Arabidopsis thaliana: one gene and its partner. The protein of the gene in region 1 purifies or fractionates together with the protein of each later gene. This does not show direct contact. Each region holds a gene or a part of one and is shown on either strand. Other genes may lie near its edges. The genes, in order: GAPB and PRK.

What was found.
Region 2: the proteins of GAPB (region 1) and PRK fractionate together in Arabidopsis thaliana (co-fractionation; one large-scale study listed by BioGRID). This does not show direct contact.

What each region holds. Positions count from the first base shown.
Region 1 is NC_003070.9:16,125,283-16,130,601, reverse strand, and holds GAPB (glyceraldehyde-3-phosphate dehydrogenase B subunit), read right to left. Parts: upstream 3,250-5,319; 5' UTR 3,051-3,249; coding exon 2,949-3,050; intron 2,859-2,948; coding exon 2,763-2,858; intron 2,684-2,762; coding exon 2,519-2,683; intron 2,450-2,518; coding exon 2,282-2,449; intron 2,191-2,281; coding exon 2,030-2,190; intron 1,946-2,029; coding exon 1,884-1,945; intron 1,808-1,883; coding exon 1,758-1,807; intron 1,656-1,757; coding exon 1,249-1,655; intron 1,151-1,248; coding exon 1,018-1,150; 3' UTR 707-1,017; downstream 1-706. Other genes in the region: AT1G42960 (inner membrane localized protein), read right to left, coding at 3,522-3,656, 3,745-3,831, 3,985-4,081, 4,255-4,375, 4,673-4,739. UniProt on the Arabidopsis thaliana protein: Involved in the photosynthetic reductive pentose phosphate pathway (Calvin-Benson cycle). Catalyzes the reduction of 1,3-diphosphoglycerate by NADPH.
Region 2 is NC_003070.9:11,529,952-11,535,167, reverse strand, and holds PRK (phosphoribulokinase), read right to left. Parts: upstream 2,970-5,216; 5' UTR 2,501-2,969; coding exon 1,977-2,500; intron 1,709-1,976; coding exon 1,624-1,708; intron 1,524-1,623; coding exon 1,439-1,523; intron 1,359-1,438; coding exon 1,114-1,358; intron 1,011-1,113; coding exon 762-1,010; 3' UTR 529-761; downstream 1-528. Other genes in the region: NSI (nuclear shuttle interacting), read left to right, coding at 50-143, 241-317; SCAMP5 (SCAMP family protein), read right to left, coding at 4,194-4,226, 4,328-4,393, 4,476-4,524, 4,781-4,848, 4,932-4,977, 5,064-5,157.

The DNA of each region.
Region 1 (5,319 bases):
AATTTAGTTCTAATAGGAGACAACTCATATTAGTTAGGATACTAGTTATATTTAGTTTGGCCAAGGCCGCTATCGTATGAACATATTTTTCTTCGTTAGAGACGGAGTACTTATCTGTTATTTAATATATCGGCATACACCAAAGTTTTTTCTTTATATTTGTTATTTTTTTGCACAGTTTGCCCAAAGCATTGATTAAAAAATCACCACTATAATGATTGATTGATTCACTTCCAGAATGTGTACGACTATTCCTTGCTCTGATAGGTTCAATAACCAGAGAAGCTATTTCTAGCTGAACAAAAGATGGAACTCGAGTCTAATAAAGAAACAAGCTTGAGAAAAAAAGGCTGAGTTGGTTGAAGAGCTGCAATGAAAATGATTGAATTAACAAATTTTGTACAATTTTCTCATTTTTCACCTACATCATTAAAAGTTTTGTAGACTCAATTCAAAAATCAGCCTGCTACCATTTTTTTTGTTGTTTTTTGTTGTTGTTGTTATTGCATAAGTTAAAAATTCAATTGAGAAATCGTCATAAGAGTTTGGTTCTAAATTTTTAATATTTAAAAACTATATGGTATAATACCTTACATTGATTTTAATTTATTCTTTCTTTATTTTTCATTTTTAATATAAAAAAATTACATATGTATTATGAAATTCAAAAAGATCAATTCCAACCATCATACAATAAAGAAATCAAGTTGAAAATATCAAATCTCTTTTCTCTAGATTGAATGTTTCATTATTTTGTTGCACACTCATGCATCTTTATTTGTAAACCAAATCAAACAATTTCTTTTGTCATACATTGCTCAAATAAATTCCGTTTTAACATGTAGCATAAAATGGTTATTTCTCAAATACAATTCTCTCAGTCTTAACATATAGTTGTTCATCAGACAAGAAAATCTTATGAGAAAAACAAGTATGCATAGTACGATTTCGAATAAGTAACTCATGATACAAAGTATTGTTTTGGTGAAAAATAAAGAAAGAAATGATCAAAGTTGTTCAGTCATAGACTTTGCATTCCTCATCAGCCGGGTTTGTCTTGCAGAAATCCTCCAAAGGATCTCCACTTCCAACAGCTTCCGCTCCCGGCCACTTGCTAGCCACTAGGTGAGCCAAATCCACCACTCTTTGGCTAAAACACGAACACGCAAACGCAAACACAAAACATAAACAAACAATCATAGGTTAAAACATAAAATGATATCATGTAATGTGTTATATCTCTCTCACCTGTAACCCCACTCGTTATCATACCAAGCAACCACCTTGACCATATCATCACCCATAACCATAGTGAGGGACGAGTCAATGGTGGTAGAGACATCAGAGCACCTGAAGTCAACAGAGACAAGAGGCGCATCGCAAACGTCTAAAATGCCTTTCATCGGTCCATTAGCGGCTTTTCTAAAGGCCTCGTTCACATCCTCTGCTGTCAAACCTTTCTTCTCAACGTTTATAACAAGGTCAACCACTGAGACGTTTGGTGTTGGCACACGGAGTGCAATGCCGTTAAGTTTACCCTTCAGCTGCGGCAACACTAATGACACCGCCTTGGCTGCTCCTGTGCTGGTAGGCACTATGTTCAGTGCTGCGGCTCTTGCACGCCTTAGGTCCCTGTGTGATGCATCTAGAAGCCTCTGAAACAATTCATTTCAAACATATTTATTTTTTTGACAATACAAGCAAGCTCTTCCGTTAGGTTTCTACATGGATAGATAGACAAAAAGATGGAATCTTACTTGGTCTCCGGTGTAGGAGTGTGTGGTTGTCATTGTCCCCTTGACAATTCCTGTGATTCAGTTCATGTATGAGCTATAAAAAAAACATTTTGAAACATGTAGTGAAGCAGAGAAAATAAAATGTACCAAATTCTTCATCCAAGACTTTAGCAAAAGGTGCCAAACAGTTGGTGGTGCAAGATGCATTGCTGCAAAGAAAGACCAAAACTGAAGCATGAATACTCAAACTCGTTCATGCTTTAATGAGATCAAAGGTTTAACTTTAAACGGACCTAATAATGTTAGCGACATCGTGACCATAGTCTTGCTCATTGACTCCCATAACATAGGTAGGGATATCAGCACCTTTGGCTGGTGCAGTGATGATAACTTTCGAGGCTCCGGCTTGGATATGCTTCCCTGCTCCTGGCCCATCAACAAACACTCCTGTTCCCTGATGATCATAACCATATACAGTTTTCGATTAACTAAGTTCCGTAGCGCGATTTGCCATCATAATAAGCAGTTTTCGGTAGAAATTTCACCTCGATAACAATGTCAATGCCGAGCTCAGCCCATGGAAGCTTAAGAGGGTCTCTGTTGGAGACAACTTTGATGAGCTTACCATCAACACTAATAGTTTCATTGTCCACAATTTTCACTTCAGCCTTGAAGGTTCCAAGCATGGAGTCATACTTAAGCAAGTGGGATGCCTGCAAATTTCATCAAATGTCAAAAATGTGTTCCACAAGAAGAGTTCACAAAGTTTATTACATACTTACATTCTTGACACCACCACTGTCGTTAAGTACAACAACTTCGAGAGGAGAGTCTTTACGACCATGCCAACACCTAAGAAAGTTCCTACCAATCCTTCCAAAACCGTTAATCGCAACTTTCAGTTTCGCCACTGTCTCTCCTCTAACAGGAGTTGATGTTGTCACAGCCTAATATTTCACAAACTCATCACATATTCACAAATCATGATAACAATACAGTTACTGATTCAATCAATAAATAAGTTACCTTAGGGATGATTTGTGCAGCTACAGCATCGAAGAAAGATGCTTCCCCACCGATACTACTCATACGCAGACCGGAGAATTCAGCGACTTCTAGCCTCTGTGCAAGTAAGTAACAAGAGAAACCAATAAAACAAACTGTACCACACACATAAACAGAGGGTATGTAGTAGTCAGATGGAGTTCATACCTTGGAGGAGCATTGAGCAGGGAAAGAGTGAATGGCACTCTTAGACTGCAGTCGCTGTGTGACCGGGATTCTTGAGACGGCGAGAGCTGCATGTGTGGCCATAGCTGCAAGTGATCACAAGAAGGAAAAATCTAGGAATGCTAGTGATCAGTTTTGAGCGTTAGAATATATACATACATACACACATCCTTTGGTTTTGATCAAAACCAACCAATGGTTCAAAGTGAAGCAAAGTAATATGTGGCTATTATGTAGGTAAGATACATATGGGGATAAGATTCTGTGAGCCAGTGATCACAAGTTTCTCAAGAGACTCATTTTTTTAATCCTTCTTTTCATGTCATATAGTTTTCATCAGGATATTATATAGTCTTCATAACGTCTGGTTTCGCATATAACTGTGATATATCCTTCAACACCGCGATTTCGAGAAAAAAAGAAGAAGGAAGAAAGCAGTCATTTGAAGATAGTAGACGAAAAGTTGTACAACATTACACAGAAAGGAAAACAATTATTGGGATCATAGTAAGTAATCTCCCATGATTCAATTTCAAATCCTAAAAACAGATGATTTCAGGCTGTAGCCTCGATTTCATCGGTGCTTAGAGCTGCACCATTCGGAGTATCTTCTGATTTGAGCTGAGAGGAGACATCGTCGATAGCAGAGTTAAGCTGAGCAATTTTCTCAGCTAGTACCTTACGTGTTTTCTGCATTAACAGTAGACAACATTGTTCATAAGTAAATTCAACAAAAAGTGAGATAAAATATGAATCAAGAGGCTTAGCAATAACTTACCTCCAAAGCTTTTTCCTCGTCATATATGAATTTAGGCAACTTCCTCATGAGATCCTTTCGGTCTGCTCCAGCTATAGCCTTGCTGATCTGATACAATTCACAAAAGTAACATCACACATTGATGAGTCAAAGTGAAACAGAGAAGGTTACAGAGCTCCTCGAGTCCACTCAAGAACTTCTTGATTGAAACGAATACAAGCTCTAAGAGTGATCAAACTAAACCATGTAACAGATTACTACCTGTGGTGCATATACACATCCGAGGGCACCGACTATAAGTCCGCCCAAAATAAACCCTCCGACGAATAGGCCTGTGCTGCCTGAACCATCATCATCTCTGCAAGTTTTGATGCTATTAGACATTGCAAACTGTCTCTGTAAACATAAGTTGCCAATAGAAAACTAAAGTATACTAAAAAATGTTACGATGCTCACAAAACATTAAGGAGTAACAAGAACCACAGTTTTCGACATCTCAAACAATAATTTGTATAAGATAAAGTTATATACCTGTATGCAGATTGAATGGTTAGGATCCTTTTGGTTCTAGGAGCAGAAATATGAAGTTTGTTGGAGTGATTCAGTCCAAATGAAACACTGACACAACGAGCATTTGGATTCAGAGAAAAACCTAGAAGGTAACAAGAACAAACAACAATCAGTGACTTATACATAACAAGTTGAACAGTTTTCTAACAAAACAGCTTCAAGCTCTAATTTTGCATTGTTTTGACAAATCAGCACAAGTAAAAAGAAAGGACCCAACAACATAAAGGAATCAAGATCGTCCAATACACAATTAAATTGGGTTTTGTGAGATGCTAAATTAGAAATCGTAACATGACTGTACGAATCTCATGAGCTCGAAAATGGAGGATATTGAAAATCTATAAAGCACGAAGATTGGAGAGATTGAAGAAGTTATTACCAGATGAAGGATGGAGTTGGTGAGAATTCTTGGGGAGAGAGAGAGAGGTAGAAGAAAGAGACGCCATGGATGGAAGAAACTGTGTCTGAGAGAGATCCTGAGATAGAGCAGTTGGAGCAAGTTCGATGATATCTAAGCAAAGCTTCTTCGATTCAGTGGTAATTATTTATTTAAATATTTATTACAAATATTACATCAAAAAAAAAAAAATGTAATAAATATTGGGAGAAATGAAAATGGATCAATTTGGTCATCTAATCCGGTTATGGAGATAATGACATTATTATACATGATCCGATCCGGCATATGTCTAAAGAAAACTAAAATATCCGAAATAACATTAAGATAACTTTATCTTATACAAATTATAGAGATAACTATTGGAGATAGTTTAAAGATCGATTCGTTCTGAAGAGTAAAATATCTTGGAAAACCTGATTTGGGTCTAAATATCATATTAGTTTGTTTTTGAAACTAAAATATTTAGAAAAACTTATTTGTCCAATGACAAATATAGAAAAATTGTTTGATGGGTTTTAAATAAGTATCTTCAAAATTTTACAACCAAATAAAAAATATAGCAATACATAACATCGAAATAAAGTTTTAGGTCACTATAAAACAACAACGAAAAAAAATTCAACACA
Region 2 (5,216 bases), 4.6 Mb from region 1:
GCTTTGTGTTTGATGTTAATTGGTGTTTGTGTTTGTTTTCACGTTTCAGGGTCAAGGGCTAGGTAAAGCTCTTGTTGAAAAACTTGTAAGGGCTCTTCTTCAAAGAGATATTGGTAACATATCTCTGTTTGCAGATAGTCAAGGTAAAACATCGAATCACTGTTTAATCTGCAATTTTTGTGGTCAAAATATTTGGATTTGTTCTTACTTAGTTGTTGAATCTGTGTTCCTTTTTTGTAGTTGTGGATTTCTATCAGAACTTGGGGTTTGAGGCTGATCCAGAAGGCATCAAAGGCATGTTTTGGTACCCAAAGTAGTACTTGGTGATTGCAAGAAAATGGGATTGTTACTTGTATGTATAATTTCTTTGCTTTCTTATATGGAATCTATAAGGAAGTTTGAACTGTGTAATTTGTAATCCAAAAGCTATTTGACATTCAAGTATTCAACATGAGTATGATCAATAGGATAAAACTGTTCTTTCTTTTGCTTAGTTGATTTGTGGTTTGAATCTACTTTGATGCTGTAAAGAACAAATTTTGAAGGCGTTCTATAAACTGAACTGTTATTGCTCTGCTATTCACTTCTCTACATTACAGGCTTTTTCTTTTTATCTCCACACAAATTACAAACAAGCAAGACCGTCCTTTTCGCCATGAAAATCCGCGGTAAACAACGCATAAAGAAAGAAAGAAATAAGAAAAAGAAGAAACTGCGGATGTATTTATCGACGCGTTCTATTTGGCTTCGCTTCGTTTGTTTTAGGCTTTAGCTTCTGCACGAGCAGTGGCTTTGTTGGCAATGAGCTGCTCATAGAGATCTCTGATCTTCAATCCAACAATGGTTTGGAAAAGACCAGTACCGTTGTTGCTACCCGGGAAATCAGCATGTTTGAGCATTTGTTGAGTGACTTCTCCGTAGAATTTGGTCGAGAGGTTGCTCAAGTGACTTTCCACGTAAATCAGCTCGTCCAGTCTATCAAATTGTCCATCCATCTCCAAAACTGATACCTGAGAGAAACAAAAAGGGAGATATATGCAATGAGTCTAAATTCTCATACACATGCATTTTCATTCATTTCTCACAATATGTCATTATGCAATATGAATGTACCTCATGGTCGAAGTAGGAGTCAGGTTCGTAGTTGAACTTGATGCCAGGGTACGAGCAAGTGAGTTTGCGGCCGCAAGGAATCCACGAGATGGTTGAACCTTCATCGAACAGGTAAACCGGGCTGAAGTACTTAACACCTTCCTTCATTATCAATCTCACTCTCAACACTTTCCCTTCGTTGTCATCTGGGATCAGAGTCGTAGGAAGCACTTCTATGACCGCATCCGCGTACTGCTTTTGCGGGTCTGTATAAGCCATTGAAAATATTATAAACTGATCAAGCCGAATATGACACGGGGTTACATCAAGAAATTAGGAGTGTTACCGATGAATGCATCGAAGTCGGGCTTTCGGGCTTCGATACTCGCTTTGATGCTCTCCAAACTGTGACCTCTTTCAGCCATGTCCCTCTGTGACCATCAAAAACGTTACAGATTCAGTTTTATAAGATAAACCGAAAACGTTCCACAAAATGGTGTAAATGTAGTTGAATTATTCAAAGAAATTCACCTGAATTTTCCAAGCGAATTTGACTTCGTTGCTAATGTCCAAGTAGATACTGAAGTCTAGTAAGTCTCTTACTCGCTCATCAAACCTTCACAAGTAGATAAATATTATTATAAAACATTACAAGTACCAAAACTATAGACTTAATTATTCGAATAAAAATTAATCGGTGTCACACACTACATGCATAGATTCAAAGATCCATCTTTAATTATTCTGATACTGATTCTAGTATAAATCTAAGTCCAGATTCTTAATCATCGAAATTCCGACAAGATAAGAGACTTCCAAACTCTAAAATTTGAGTATGTCTAAGATACAAAACAGAGTATCATAACAGAGTATGTGTAGCTTACATTGGGTGAAGACCTTCGATGACAAGAATCTTAGGAGGCTGAATAAGCTCCGGAGGGTCAAGAAGTCCAGTGACATGGTTATAAATCGGTTTCTCGACGGCTATACCATTCTTAAGAGCTTTGACTTGCTCATACATGAGATCAAAGTCATTGGCGCGTGGGTCCAAAGCGGTGACTTTCTGCTCTTTCCTACCGTACCTATCCAAAGAATGGTAATCATCAAGACAGATCACAGTGGTCGTGTCGCTGATGAGTGTGTTGGAATCAGGGTTCCCGCCTTTTGGTGGCTTAGCAGCGCCACCAAAGACGCTGGTGAGCCTCCGCATAAAGGTACTTTTGCCGCAGCCAGAGTCAGCAGCTAGTCCGATCACGATGGTTTCTTGTGCGCAAGTGATGAGTGTGTTGAATCTACGGTTGGTTTGTGGTTGACGACGGTAGAGGAAGACTTGTTTGGAGGAGGAAGAAGAGGTTAAGAAATGAGTTGAATTGAGAGCTTGTGTTGAGTAGATAGTTGAGACAGCCATTGTTGTTTGTTTGGTGTTTTGGTCTCCTCTTCTTCTCCGCCTAAGCTCTTTTTTTTTTGTTTAGCTTTGTGAGCTCAGGTTGAGTGATGAGGATTTAGGATAGAATGAAAGAAATGTGGGTAACGATTTTTGATTTTATGGTTTTTTGTGTGGTGATATAGAGATGTGATTTTTTTTTTTTTTGAAAATAAGATTAAATGGGGAAAGAGAGAAATGAGAGGAGGACAATGGGTCTATAGGAAAAACAGATGGCAATTTGCAGAGAAGAAAAGGAGTTTTATTTTGTTTTGTTTTGGTTTAATGTGGTTGTGTGATGATTGGCTCATGTTTTGGTTTCTTGAAGTAAAATTGTTTGTAATGTTGATTAGTCTCTATGTTAAGATGTTGTTGATAAGATAAGAGGATAAGAAAACATTTATAGCCATTAAAAAACCAAAGATCATATCTTATTTACTTCATGAAGTAATAAACTTATGGTAATTTTGTTTGATTTTTTTGGCTAAAAGATAATTTGGAGAATAGAGTTTGGGAGAGGAGTGGAGTTGCCGATGAAGTGATAAAACTAACAGGGCATGGAGGGAGACGTTGCTTGGTGGTTATTTGCTTATTTTTTTGGGATTTGGATATTTGAATTGACACGTGGGAGATTCTAATTGGACAGATGGGGATTAGGTGTTTAAGGTCTGAAGATGAAGGAGAGAGTATTATGTGGGTCACATTTACACGTCACCGTATATCCCCCCTTGGCTTCGAATCTTTATGGTCTTTGAACAACTTACCTTTTTATGCTTTTATTTTTTTCTATAGGGATCAAAGCCTTCTTGCGTTACCTTAACAATGGGCTTCAAGCCTACCAATTAATAAAGACACCAAGAGTTTTTTTTTTTTTTTTTTTTTTGTGAACAGATACCAGAAGTTTATTACTCATGAATTTCACCGTAGGGTAATTAGTAAAAGAGATTACATCGGGATTAAAAAAACAAAACCATGGTTTATTTATCGACCGCGATAGAGTCGGCACTAGTTGCTTATTCTTGGACACATTGAACGTAGTCTCCACCAACCACCATACAACTTCCATGTCAAGCATGAAACTATAACGGGTCAGAGAATTTGTTAGGTTAAAAAGTAAAAACTATGGACTCACATTAAATCTTTCCAAAAAAATTACTTTAATCTCTTTTGAGTTTTGACTCATGGAGTTTGCAAATGAAAAAAAGTTCTTATTTTGCTCAACAGAAGAATTTAACGAAGTTTTATCTCTCTCGAGTCATGGTGTTTGCAAAAAAAAAAATTCATAAAGTTCACGGCCATATCGAAACATCTATACTTTGTTATACGCAATGATAATCAGAAGGACCAGATTCTAAGATTCAGACCGAAGAGAGTCGCTACTAATAATTCATAGCTATGATTTTTTTTTGTCTAAATAGTCCATCCACTTCGCCGAAAAAAAATCCCAAAAGCTAAGAGACGATATTGGTATATTACAGACCAGAGAAGAACAGAGTAAAAAACATAAAGAAATGGCCGAACAACCACTCTCTCTTGCTACTATAGTAACTAAAGAATTTACCTCAATCAACACAACGCATCAAACGGTAAAATGGTAATTACATTCATAGGAGATACACATATTTCAGACCTTATATCGTAAGGGAAAATTACCATCATCTTCCTCTTTATCTCCTTTTCACTTGTTTCCCCTAAAGTAGAGGTAAATTTTCTGCAAAGCCAAAATGGGAAACCAGATCAATCAAATGTTTACTGGTTTCATCAACGTCAACAGTTTTGAAGAAGCCATGAAAAGTATGATCAGAGGCTTACCTGAAGAACCCATAGACTCAGCAGTGACTCCAAGCAGAAGAGACCGAATCCGATAAAGTAGAAGATCTGCCATCATTCATTAGGGTTAGACACATTGAATATATTATAGGCGTCGTCATGAAATGTAAAATAGGTGTATAGCTCATACCCCAGCTAATAAACTGTCTGAGATGACATCAATTGCTGCAAGCACACCCCTGTTGATCGAAATAAGAGAAAGGGTTTTTAAGTTAATCTCAAGGCAACAAAACATACAGAGGTGAATCACAGCTAGATTCTCACTTCTACTTGTAGTCATAATCCTCATTATTTTGTAACAACTGAATATTAATAAACCTTTCAGAACAATTTAGAACTTTCCAATTGAAGCCCTCACCAGACTAACCAACTACATATGAAGTAAGAGTACACTCAAACGCAAGTAGAAACGTAGGCTATTATTGGAAGACTTACGTTAATGATTTTCCATGGAAAAAGATTGGAGGGGCGATGGCAGCAACGATGCAGAAGCCAATGTGAATCTGTAAGGAGCTCAGGTCAATCATGTGGAAAATGGAAGTATATCTACTTAAAGGTAAGATATAAATAGGTTTTATGAACTCACCAAGTAGGTGAAGAAAAACCAACCAAACTTCAAAGCACTGTCAGTCCTGCAAGGCCGTAAAATGTATTTCAATTATATCGCCTGTAATTGTACTTATACAAATGGAAGAGAACCAGTGAGCAGGAATATTACCTCATGGCTCGGTAGAGTGGCCTGTACCATAGTACATAAGAGAGTGGACATCCGATCAATGCATATATTGTGGCCAGGAAAAAGATTTTAACACCTATCATTGATATTTTAAAACCACCATTAGTTGAACCAAATCCAATCAAAATTCTCATA